2 linked regions of the Caenorhabditis elegans genome follow. The protein of the gene in region 1 interacts with the protein of each later gene in a pairwise test. Each region holds a gene or a part of one and is shown on either strand. Other genes may lie near its edges. The genes, in order: ceh-51 and tbx-38.

What was found.
Region 2: the proteins of ceh-51 (region 1) and tbx-38 interact in a two-hybrid assay, tested with the Caenorhabditis elegans proteins (one large-scale study listed by BioGRID).

Annotation. Positions count from the first base shown.
Region 1 is NC_003283.11:18,872,474-18,876,672, reverse strand, and holds ceh-51 (Homeobox protein ceh-51), read right to left. Parts: upstream 2,541-4,199; coding exon 2,287-2,540; intron 1,217-2,286; coding exon 766-1,216; 3' UTR 691-765; downstream 1-690. Other genes in the region: emb-4 (Intron-binding protein aquarius), read left to right, coding at 3,707-4,047. UniProt on the Caenorhabditis elegans protein: Required for mesoderm development, including specification of muscle and coelomocyte precursors.
Region 2 is NC_003281.10:11,783,528-11,788,179, reverse strand, and holds tbx-38 (T-box protein 38), read left to right. Parts: upstream 1-2,118; 5' UTR 2,119-2,127; coding exon 2,128-2,333; intron 2,334-2,355; exon of another isoform or gene 2,356-2,435; intron 2,436-2,494; coding exon 2,495-2,813; intron 2,814-3,579; coding exon 3,580-3,966; 3' UTR 3,967-4,098; downstream 4,099-4,652. Other genes in the region: C24H11.1 (Serine/threonine-protein phosphatase), read right to left, coding at 200-331, 379-432; srd-74 (Serpentine Receptor, class D (delta)), read right to left, coding at 4,106-4,294, 4,345-4,416, 4,488-4,652. UniProt on the Caenorhabditis elegans protein: Transcription factor. Required for mesodermal induction, acting redundantly with transcription factor tbx-37. Together with tbx-37, acts by inducing cell fates in the AB lineage, thereby playing a role in development of the anterior pharynx.

The sequences.
Region 1 (4,199 bases):
TTTTTTTATTGCTTCATTAGACTCAAAATTGTCTGAAAACGCCGAATTTCATAATAAAACTTCCTGAAAACTTCTTTAAAAAAAGTTATGACGGCTCAAAAAATGGCCTATAATTCGTTAAAATTTGAATTTGACCGACTTGTCAATGCCGCAGCGACTGGAAACATTTTTTTTTGAAATCATCGTTAAATTTTGAGTTTACAGCATGATTATCTTGAGTTTTCAACTCCATTTAGGTATTTTAAAATCGATGGACGAAGAGATTTTTAAATTTTTAAAACCAAATCTCGCCGTAGTCCATGGACTTTAAAATACCTAAATGAAGTTGAAAACGCAAGATAATTACATTGTATACTCAAAATTTGACGGTGATTTCAAAAAAAAAATTGCCTTCAGCCGTTACGACATTGACAAGTCGTCGGTCAAATTTGAAATTTTAACGAATTTTTGGCCATTTTTTGAGCCGTCATAATTTTTTTTTGAGAAGTTTTCAAAAAAGTTTCATTATGAAATTCTGTGTTTTCAGACAATTTTGAGTCTAATGAAGCAATAAAAAAAATCGACTACACCGCCTATAATACACATGCTCGGAGAGTTGTAAATTTGAGACAAAAATTTTGAAGTTGTGGAATTTCTACTAATTTTGATGTTCTAAAAGGTTCAAAAACACTGAAAATTCAAATTTCGCGGTTTTTTTTCTTCAATTCAATCGAACATCGTTTATTGGGGGCACACAATAATACAAGTGACAAAAAGCTACACAAATCAAGAAATAACATGCTTCTGGTCCTCCTCCGCCTCCTCCTTCGCCGATTTCTGTTGCTGCACAGCGTCCTGCTTGATCTGCTTGTATTTCTCCTTTCTCAACTTGAATCTCCGATTCTGAAACCAAATCTTGATCTGCTCGGGCGAAAGTCCGATGACTGCTCCCAACTTCCGTCGCTCGTCAACCTTTATTGTGTCGCACTGCTCAAATCTGGTTCTCAACGCGTAAAGCTGAGAATCGGAGAACGGAGTTCGAGCGCCTCTCCGCTTTTCTGAAGGAGCTCTTGGATGCTGCTGATGCTGATGATGTAGAAAAGACGGCGGTGGTGGGATGAAGCCAGCGTGATGAGCCACCATAGGATGAGGAAACGAGGATGGGGAGAGTTGTGAGTACTGCTGCTGGAACCAGGCGAAGCATTGAGCTTGGTAGGCTTGAGCATGGGCTTGAACTCTGTAAAAAAAAAGGAATTTTCGGAAGAAAAGCGATCACGGAGATGAATTTTGTTGCAAATAAGCAGTGATCAAATTTTCCAAATAGGGATTTTTGCCGCTGTAAATTTAACATGCCAAAAAGAAGCTACCAAATTTGCCCAATTTGTGGCAATTGGACTTCTTGGAGCTGTTAATTTCAAAAAAAGCAGCTACCAAAATTGCCTAAATTTGGAATTTTGGCCACTGCTAATTGCGAAGAAGAAGCTTCGAAAATTGTTCAAAATTGAAATTTTTGAAAACAGTTAATTGCAAAAAAAGTAGCAAACAAAATTTCCTGAATTGGATTGTTAAGAGCTCTTAATTGCATAGAAGCAGCTACGAAAATAGTTCAGAATGGACTTTTCGACACTGCTAATTGCAGGAAAACAGCTACCAAAATTGCATAAATTTGGAATTTTTGGAGCTTTTAATTGCAAAAAAGCAGCTACCGAAATAGTTCAAATTGGAATTTTCGACATTGCTAGTTGCAATAAATCTACCAAATTTGCCCAATTTGTGCAAATTGGACTTCTTGGAGCTGTTAATTGCAAAAAAAGCAGCTGCTACCAAAATTGCCTAAATTTGGAATTTTGGCCACTGTTAATTGCAAAAAAGCAGCTACCAAATTTGCCCAATTTGTGCAAATTGGACTTTTCGACACTGTTAATTGCAAAATTGCAGCTACCAAAATAGTTCAAATTGGAATTTTTAGAGCTGTTAATTGCAACAAAGCAGCTAACAAAGTTTTTTTTTGCTAAAAATGCCCGTTCGCGGCCATATAGTGTGAAAAAGCTATATTTTGAGTAATTTCCCACTGTCAAAACTTATGGGGTTATTCAAGAAATGTTACTTGCAAAATGTATTTAAATACATGTTTTTAAATGTATTTTAATACAGTTGTGACGTAATTTTTCTACACTTTTTAATTTTCCGACGCTAATTGAATAACCCCATTAAAATTAGCGGTTCTTCACGCATTTCGGTAGAAAAACGTAGTGAAAATCACTCTAAAACGCCCGTTTTGTACTGAAAAGTATCGAAAAAACTTACAACATATCATTCCCATTATGAGCCAGCTGTTGTTGATAGTAAAGCTGATTGGGATCCGCCACGTAGCACGGTGATGGAGCCTGATAGGCCGCCGGATAGGCTGGCGATGAGCTCATTGAGCCCGGAGAGCTGCTTGGCATTGTGGAATATTCCATTACAGTAGCATTAGTAATAGCAGAAGTTGAATTAAGATTCGAAGAAGACAAAGGATAATAGTCACCGCCGTTATTAATATTATAGTTGGATGATGACATTTTGTGTGGAATGAATTGGGGGAATTATAGTGGCTATTCTCCAGCTGGGGAGGCTGTAAATCTAGGCGGAGCATTGCTGCCTAGGTAGGCGGGGAGGCGAGAAGGTGCGATTTTGTTTGGCGGGAGACATGACCGGGAAAAGGTGACACCGGAGAGGTGAGATACCTGGGAATTGGGTGAGATTTTCCGGCTGTTCTTCAGAATTGTCTGAAAATCTGGAAAAATGTGAAGTTTTTCCACGGAAAAGCGAATTTTCGATTGATTCTTGTAGTTTTTCGTACAAATCGGACAATGCCAAAATTTGGCAGTTTTGGTACTTTGTGTTGGATTACGGTAGAAATTTTGGTCTGAAAAGCTTATTTTTAAGCCAATTTCAGTCAAAAACTGCAGTTCCGGCAATTCGGCAAAAACTTGCCGGAATTAAAAATTTCCGGCAAATTTGCAAGTTGCCGGAATTGAAAATTTCTGGCAAATCGACAAATTGCTGGAATTTGAAATTTCCTGCAAACCGGCGGAATTAAAAATTTCTGGCAAATCGGCAAACTGGCAAACTGCCGGAATTGAAAATTTCTGGCAAAATGGGCGATTTGCCGGAATTGAAAATTTCCGGCAAATCGGCAAATTGGCGGAATTGAAAATTTCCGGCAAATTGTCGGAACTGAAAATTTCTGGCAAAATGGGCAATTTGCCGGAATTGAAAATTTCCTGCAAACCGGCAAAAATTTGCCGGAATTTAAAATTTCTGGCAAATTGCCGGAACTGAAAATTTCCTTCAAACCGGCACATTGCCGGAATTGAACATTTCCGGCAAACGGGTAAAAACTTGCCGGAATTCGCCGAATTTTCCGAACAACAATTGCCCGCCTACTTAAAACTTTTAAAAAAGCAAAAAAGAAAAAAACAACTGACATAAAAATTATCTGATCAATAAGATATTGGAAAAAATGTTGAAAATTGCAAAAAAATATATCGAATCTAGGCATATAGTGCTCCCTAAACTACAACCTACAACAAATTTCAAATAAAATATACAAAATTTTGCAAAAAAAAGAAAAAATATAATTAAAATTCAAATTTCGAAATGTTAAATTTGAAAATTTTAGAGTTTTTCGACGAAATTACAACAAAAACACTCTGAAAATTATAAAAATCCTGGATTTTTTCAGGTGAAAGAGGCAAAAATCATCGCAATGACTTGTACACACGCGGCTCTCCGTCGAAATGAGCTCGTGAAGCTCGGCTTCCGCTACGATAATATCGTAATGGAAGAAGCCGCTCAAATTCTTGAAGTTGAAACATTTATCCCATTGTTACTACAAAATCCACAAGACGGACACAATCGACTGAAACGATGGATTATGATTGGAGATCATCATCAGCTGCCGCCAGTTGTACAGAATCAGGCATTCCAGAAATATTCGAATATGGAACAATCGTTATTTGCGAGATTAGTCAGGCTTAGTGTACCAAATGTGCAGTTGGATCGACAGGGAAGAGCCAGGGCTCAGTGCGTGTTTTTTTTTGGGGAATTCTTGAGAAATTCTACGTGAAAATTAAGAATTTTACGGTTGAATTTACCGAAAAACGATTTTTCGTGCGAAATTGGCAAATTTTCATATGAAAATTGCAACTTTTCACAAGAAAAATTTGGCATTTGAG
Region 2 (4,652 bases), on another chromosome or scaffold:
GTGGGTAGGTAGGCAGGCAACCGCTTAGAAACGCAGGGATGGTGCAGGTAGAGAATAGGTAGGAATGCAGTGGTTAAACATTTAGGCAGGTATGAGGCAGGCAGGTAAATATGCAGGGATGATTCAGATAGGCAATGGGAAGGCATGTAGGCAGGCACAGGTGAAGCAGGCAGGCCGGTATAGAGTCTCCTTTACTTACATCAAACATAATGGCTTTCGAGAATACAGGCTTCAGAAGTTTCTTGATCATATCGGTCAACTTGAATCCCTTCTCATCGGCCTCCGTGATATGCCAATTGTTGGCTTCCGAACCCGGTTCAACGGAAGTTTTCTGAAAAGGTAGAGGCATTTTAAAGAATCATCTGAATTTCCACTTACCTTTGGAGCATCTGTTGCAGCAGGATTTGAAGAATTCGAAGAATTTGAACTCATTTCGTTTTCAATTCAAATTGATCCCTTTGAAGTGTGAATTATCAATTAATGAATTTATTTTCTTTCTATTGATTTATTGATTTTGATGATTTATTGATTGACCATTGCGATAACAATTGTTTTTATTTTTGACGCGAACATTTTTAAATTGTTTTAAACTTGCGTAACTAAATTGTTATTAAAGTTGTAAACTATCCAAAAATTGTAAATTTTATGTTCTACATTTTGATAGTTGACAACTTTTTTATAGCGTTTTTTTTTTTTTTTTGTTTTTGACGCGAAAAATTTCTTTTTTTTTTTGTAAATTTTTTTCAATAATTTTTTATTATAATTTTCGTGATTAAATTGTTATCAAAGCTATCAAAAAGTTTGTAAATCGTTTTCCAACTATTCCTAAATTCCTAATCGATATTGTTTTTTTCTTTAATTTTCCAGATGTCCTCCAAGTTTCCCACAATATCGTGTGTCTTTCGTTTTCCAAACCACGTGGCGTACCATACATGGCAGAGAGTTGTGTTACGGCTCAAAGACATGTGCCGCTTATACTTTGCTATAAAGTATTTTGCCAAGTGTTTCGAACCGTTTTTGAACCGTTATTATTACTTGAAAAATCTCATATTTGCAGTAAAAATTACTGGAAGAAATGTACATTTAATAGTAACGTTTAAGTATGAAGCTATTGAAAAATGTATGAAAAACAAAATATAAAATTATTTTTATAATCAATTTCTTGTGTTTCTAACCAATTTCAAAATGCACCAGCCCTCCCGCTGAGCCCGACACATCTTCTCCTTCCGAGCCAATTCAAAACTGCGCACCGCTATCACTAGAGTGTGAGGTGTCAAGGTGTGGGTGGAGGTATACTTTTGAAGTGTGAACTACACATTCTAGATTGCTGAAGACCATAGAGATGCTCAGTTGGAGGAAGAGGTGTTCAAGAATCAGACACCAACATTGGCTCGCAGTTTAATGAGTGTTCCGATTTTACAGTTATTTTGGATATACTTCGCGTGTGATCCTTCTAGGTCATTATTATATTGGTGTGAATTCAAAAAGCCTAAGCCTATGCTTTAGCCTAAACCTGAGCCTGAGCTGAGGTCTAAGCTTAAGCCTGAGCCTAAGCCTAAGCCTTAGCTTGAGCCTAAGCCTAATAAGGGATGGGCGGCGAACAGGCTTTCTTGGTGAACGGCGAATTCGGCGACTTTGCCTATGCAGTTTTTCCAGTTTTCCAGGTTTTCTCTGAAGGTTTTTTCTTGTTCAAAGGTGTAAGCCTAAGCCTAATTGTAAGCCTAAGCCCAAGCAGAAGCCTGACTGAGCCTAAACCTAAGCCTAGGCATAACTCTAAGCCTAAGCCTGAGCATAAGCCTATGTCTATGTCTAAGCCTAAACCTAAACCTAAAGACTAAGCCTAAGACTAAACCTAAAGACTAAGCCTAAGCCTGCACCCAAGGCCGCCGTGCGCTACATCTCCCATGGCCACACGCTCATATGTGCCAAGTTGTGCTCCACTTGCCACGTGTCCACCCCTACGTGTGGCCCAGCCCCTTCCGGCTCCGCCCACTTACCGGCTCAGTTTTACAGAATTAGTGAGAGTGGTTAGCACTTTTATTACAATTAGATTTTTGTTGCTCTACTTCCGGTCTCACTTTTTTGTGCTTCTGTTACTCCTATAACTCCCCCTGTTACAGCATTACCATGTACTCGTGCACCTCCCCATCCGGAATTAAAGTCTCCTTGAGCACACCAGAAATTTGGGAAGAGTTCTACCCGAAAACCGAAATGATTGTGACGAGAAACCGTGGAAGGGTGATTTTTCCGCATTTGGACTATATCATCAAGGGATTGGATCCAGGCAGTCTCTACTCGATTTATATTCATTTGGAACGTGTTGACGGGATTAAGTGAGTTGGGTTAAAAGATAGAAAAAAATTTTCAACTGGTAAATTGTAGAAAATTAAATTTGCTACAATTTCTAAATTGACAACTTTTTGATAGCTGGTATACTTTCAGAGTTATAACCTATAGGACGATTCCAATTTCAAAAACTTGAACTCATTTCCAGATACAAATTCGACGCAGGAGAATGGAAAGAATTCGCCAAAGGAGATCCGATTCTTCCAATCCAATACAAGGAGCATCCGCGTGGCAAGCGTACTGGAGCAGAATGGATGAGTGAGCCCGTCTCGTTTGCTCACATCAAAATCACGAATAACCCGGAAATCAAGGATCAGAAGGTCATTTTAGTGCAGAGTATGCATAAGCACATTCCAGTGGTCACTGTTAAACAGGTCCGACATTATAAGACAGGGTATCAAGAGGATTTTAGTGGGGAGCAGTTCCGGTTGGAGGCTACTGAATTTATGGTGGTCACTGCTTATCAGGTTAGTTATTTGAAAGGGTGTGGGAAATTAAATTTGCAACAATTTGTTGAAAAAAGTTGAAAACATTTTAATCGCGTCACTATCAACGGAGATGAAGTAGTTTAAAGTTGGAGAGCATATTTTCAAGTTTCCAAAACTGTAAATTTCGAAGCGCTATTCCAACTTTTCAAATCAAAAATAAATGTAGACATATAGAAAGCATCTAATTCAAAATTAAAAAAATACTGAAAAACTTGCCGAAAGTTGCCATTTGCTGAAGCTTAAGCTTAGGCTTAGGATTAGGCTCAGGCTTAGGCTTAGACTTAGGCTTAGGCTTACGCCATTATACAGGAAAAAACCTTCAGAAAAAACCTGGAAAACTTAAAAAACTGCATAGACAAATTTGCCGAATTCGTCGTTCGCCAAGAAAGCATGTTCGCTGCCCATCACTGATTAGCCCTAGGCTTGGGCTTGGGCTTGGGCTTAGGCTTAGGCTTAGGCTTAGGCTTAGGCTTAGGCTTAGGCTTAGGCTTAGTCTTAGGCTTAAGCTTAGGCCGCAAATCGACTTTTTCAAAATATTTGTCGAGCACGTCAAATTCGGTAAATTTATTCGGCATGGCAATTTCGGAAAAAGCATTAAGTTTTCATTAAGTGCCGGATTGAAACTACGCTATTAAAATTTTGTCAACTAAAAAATAAAAAAATGTAGCAAATTCAATTACCCACAACTAGAAATTTTTCACCAACTACATACATATATTCTCTACAAAATTGTACCCTTTTCCAGAACGAAATCCTCAAAAACCTCAAGGTTCATCACAATAAATTTGCATCCGGATTTCGTTCGAATGGCAAGAGACGGCTTTCTTCAGACTCTGAAAATTCTGAAAACTCTCCGCCCAAACGCAGCAAATTGGTAACCCCACCGACAATCTCACCGCAAATAGATCTCCCACAGCAAACCCCGTATTATTTCAACCAGAATTTTGTGGCTCCGCAGAACTACCAGCCACAGTTTGCAAGTGCTCAGAATTACAATTTCGAAGTTCAAAATAATGCTCAATTAGCTTGGAATATGTATTATCAAAAACAATACGAGTTTTGGTGGCAACAGCAGCAAATGATGATGCCAGGACAACCACAAGAGCTCAAAAATGAATTCCAAAGTTTGTGAATTTTTTGTAATATTTTTATACCCCCTACCTATTGCCTTTCTCCCCCTTTGAATATTGTACTGCACTGATCTCCTGGATTACTATTTATGTGTCTCATAAATAACAATTGAAATAAACTTTATTAATATTTAAAAAAAATCAAATAGTCCTCGCGGAAGACTGCGCCACGGACAACGTCACCCCAATCGAGACACTTCTCTGCCGCCGCGTCACAAAACTCCTATATGGTGCAACGTAGTAGATCGTTAGAATCGGATCGATGAGGCACGGGATGACGCAGGTTGGAAACGGCACGAACTCGGCAATCTCGAACTCGATGTGGATTCGCTGGAAATTTTTCAATGGGCTAGGCGTGCCTGCCTGCCTGCCTATCTCACCTGCGCCACAAGGAAGTATGCAACATTGGGAAGAAGGCATACCATCGGGAACATTGCCTGCATTGTGAGTGCCTGGAAAAATTGGAAAGTTGCCTGCTTGTTTGCCTACCTACTAGGCAGGCAAGCCTACTCCTACCACTCACCCTCACCAAATCCAACGACGATTTCTTGGTTCGTTCACTCAAATGTGTCTGAACTTCGTTGATTTGATTGAAGATCTGATGTCTCCAGTACAGAATGAAAACGGGCATCATGTAGGGAATTCCCATGAGAATTGTGGTATTGATAAGATAAACCAGCCGAGTTGT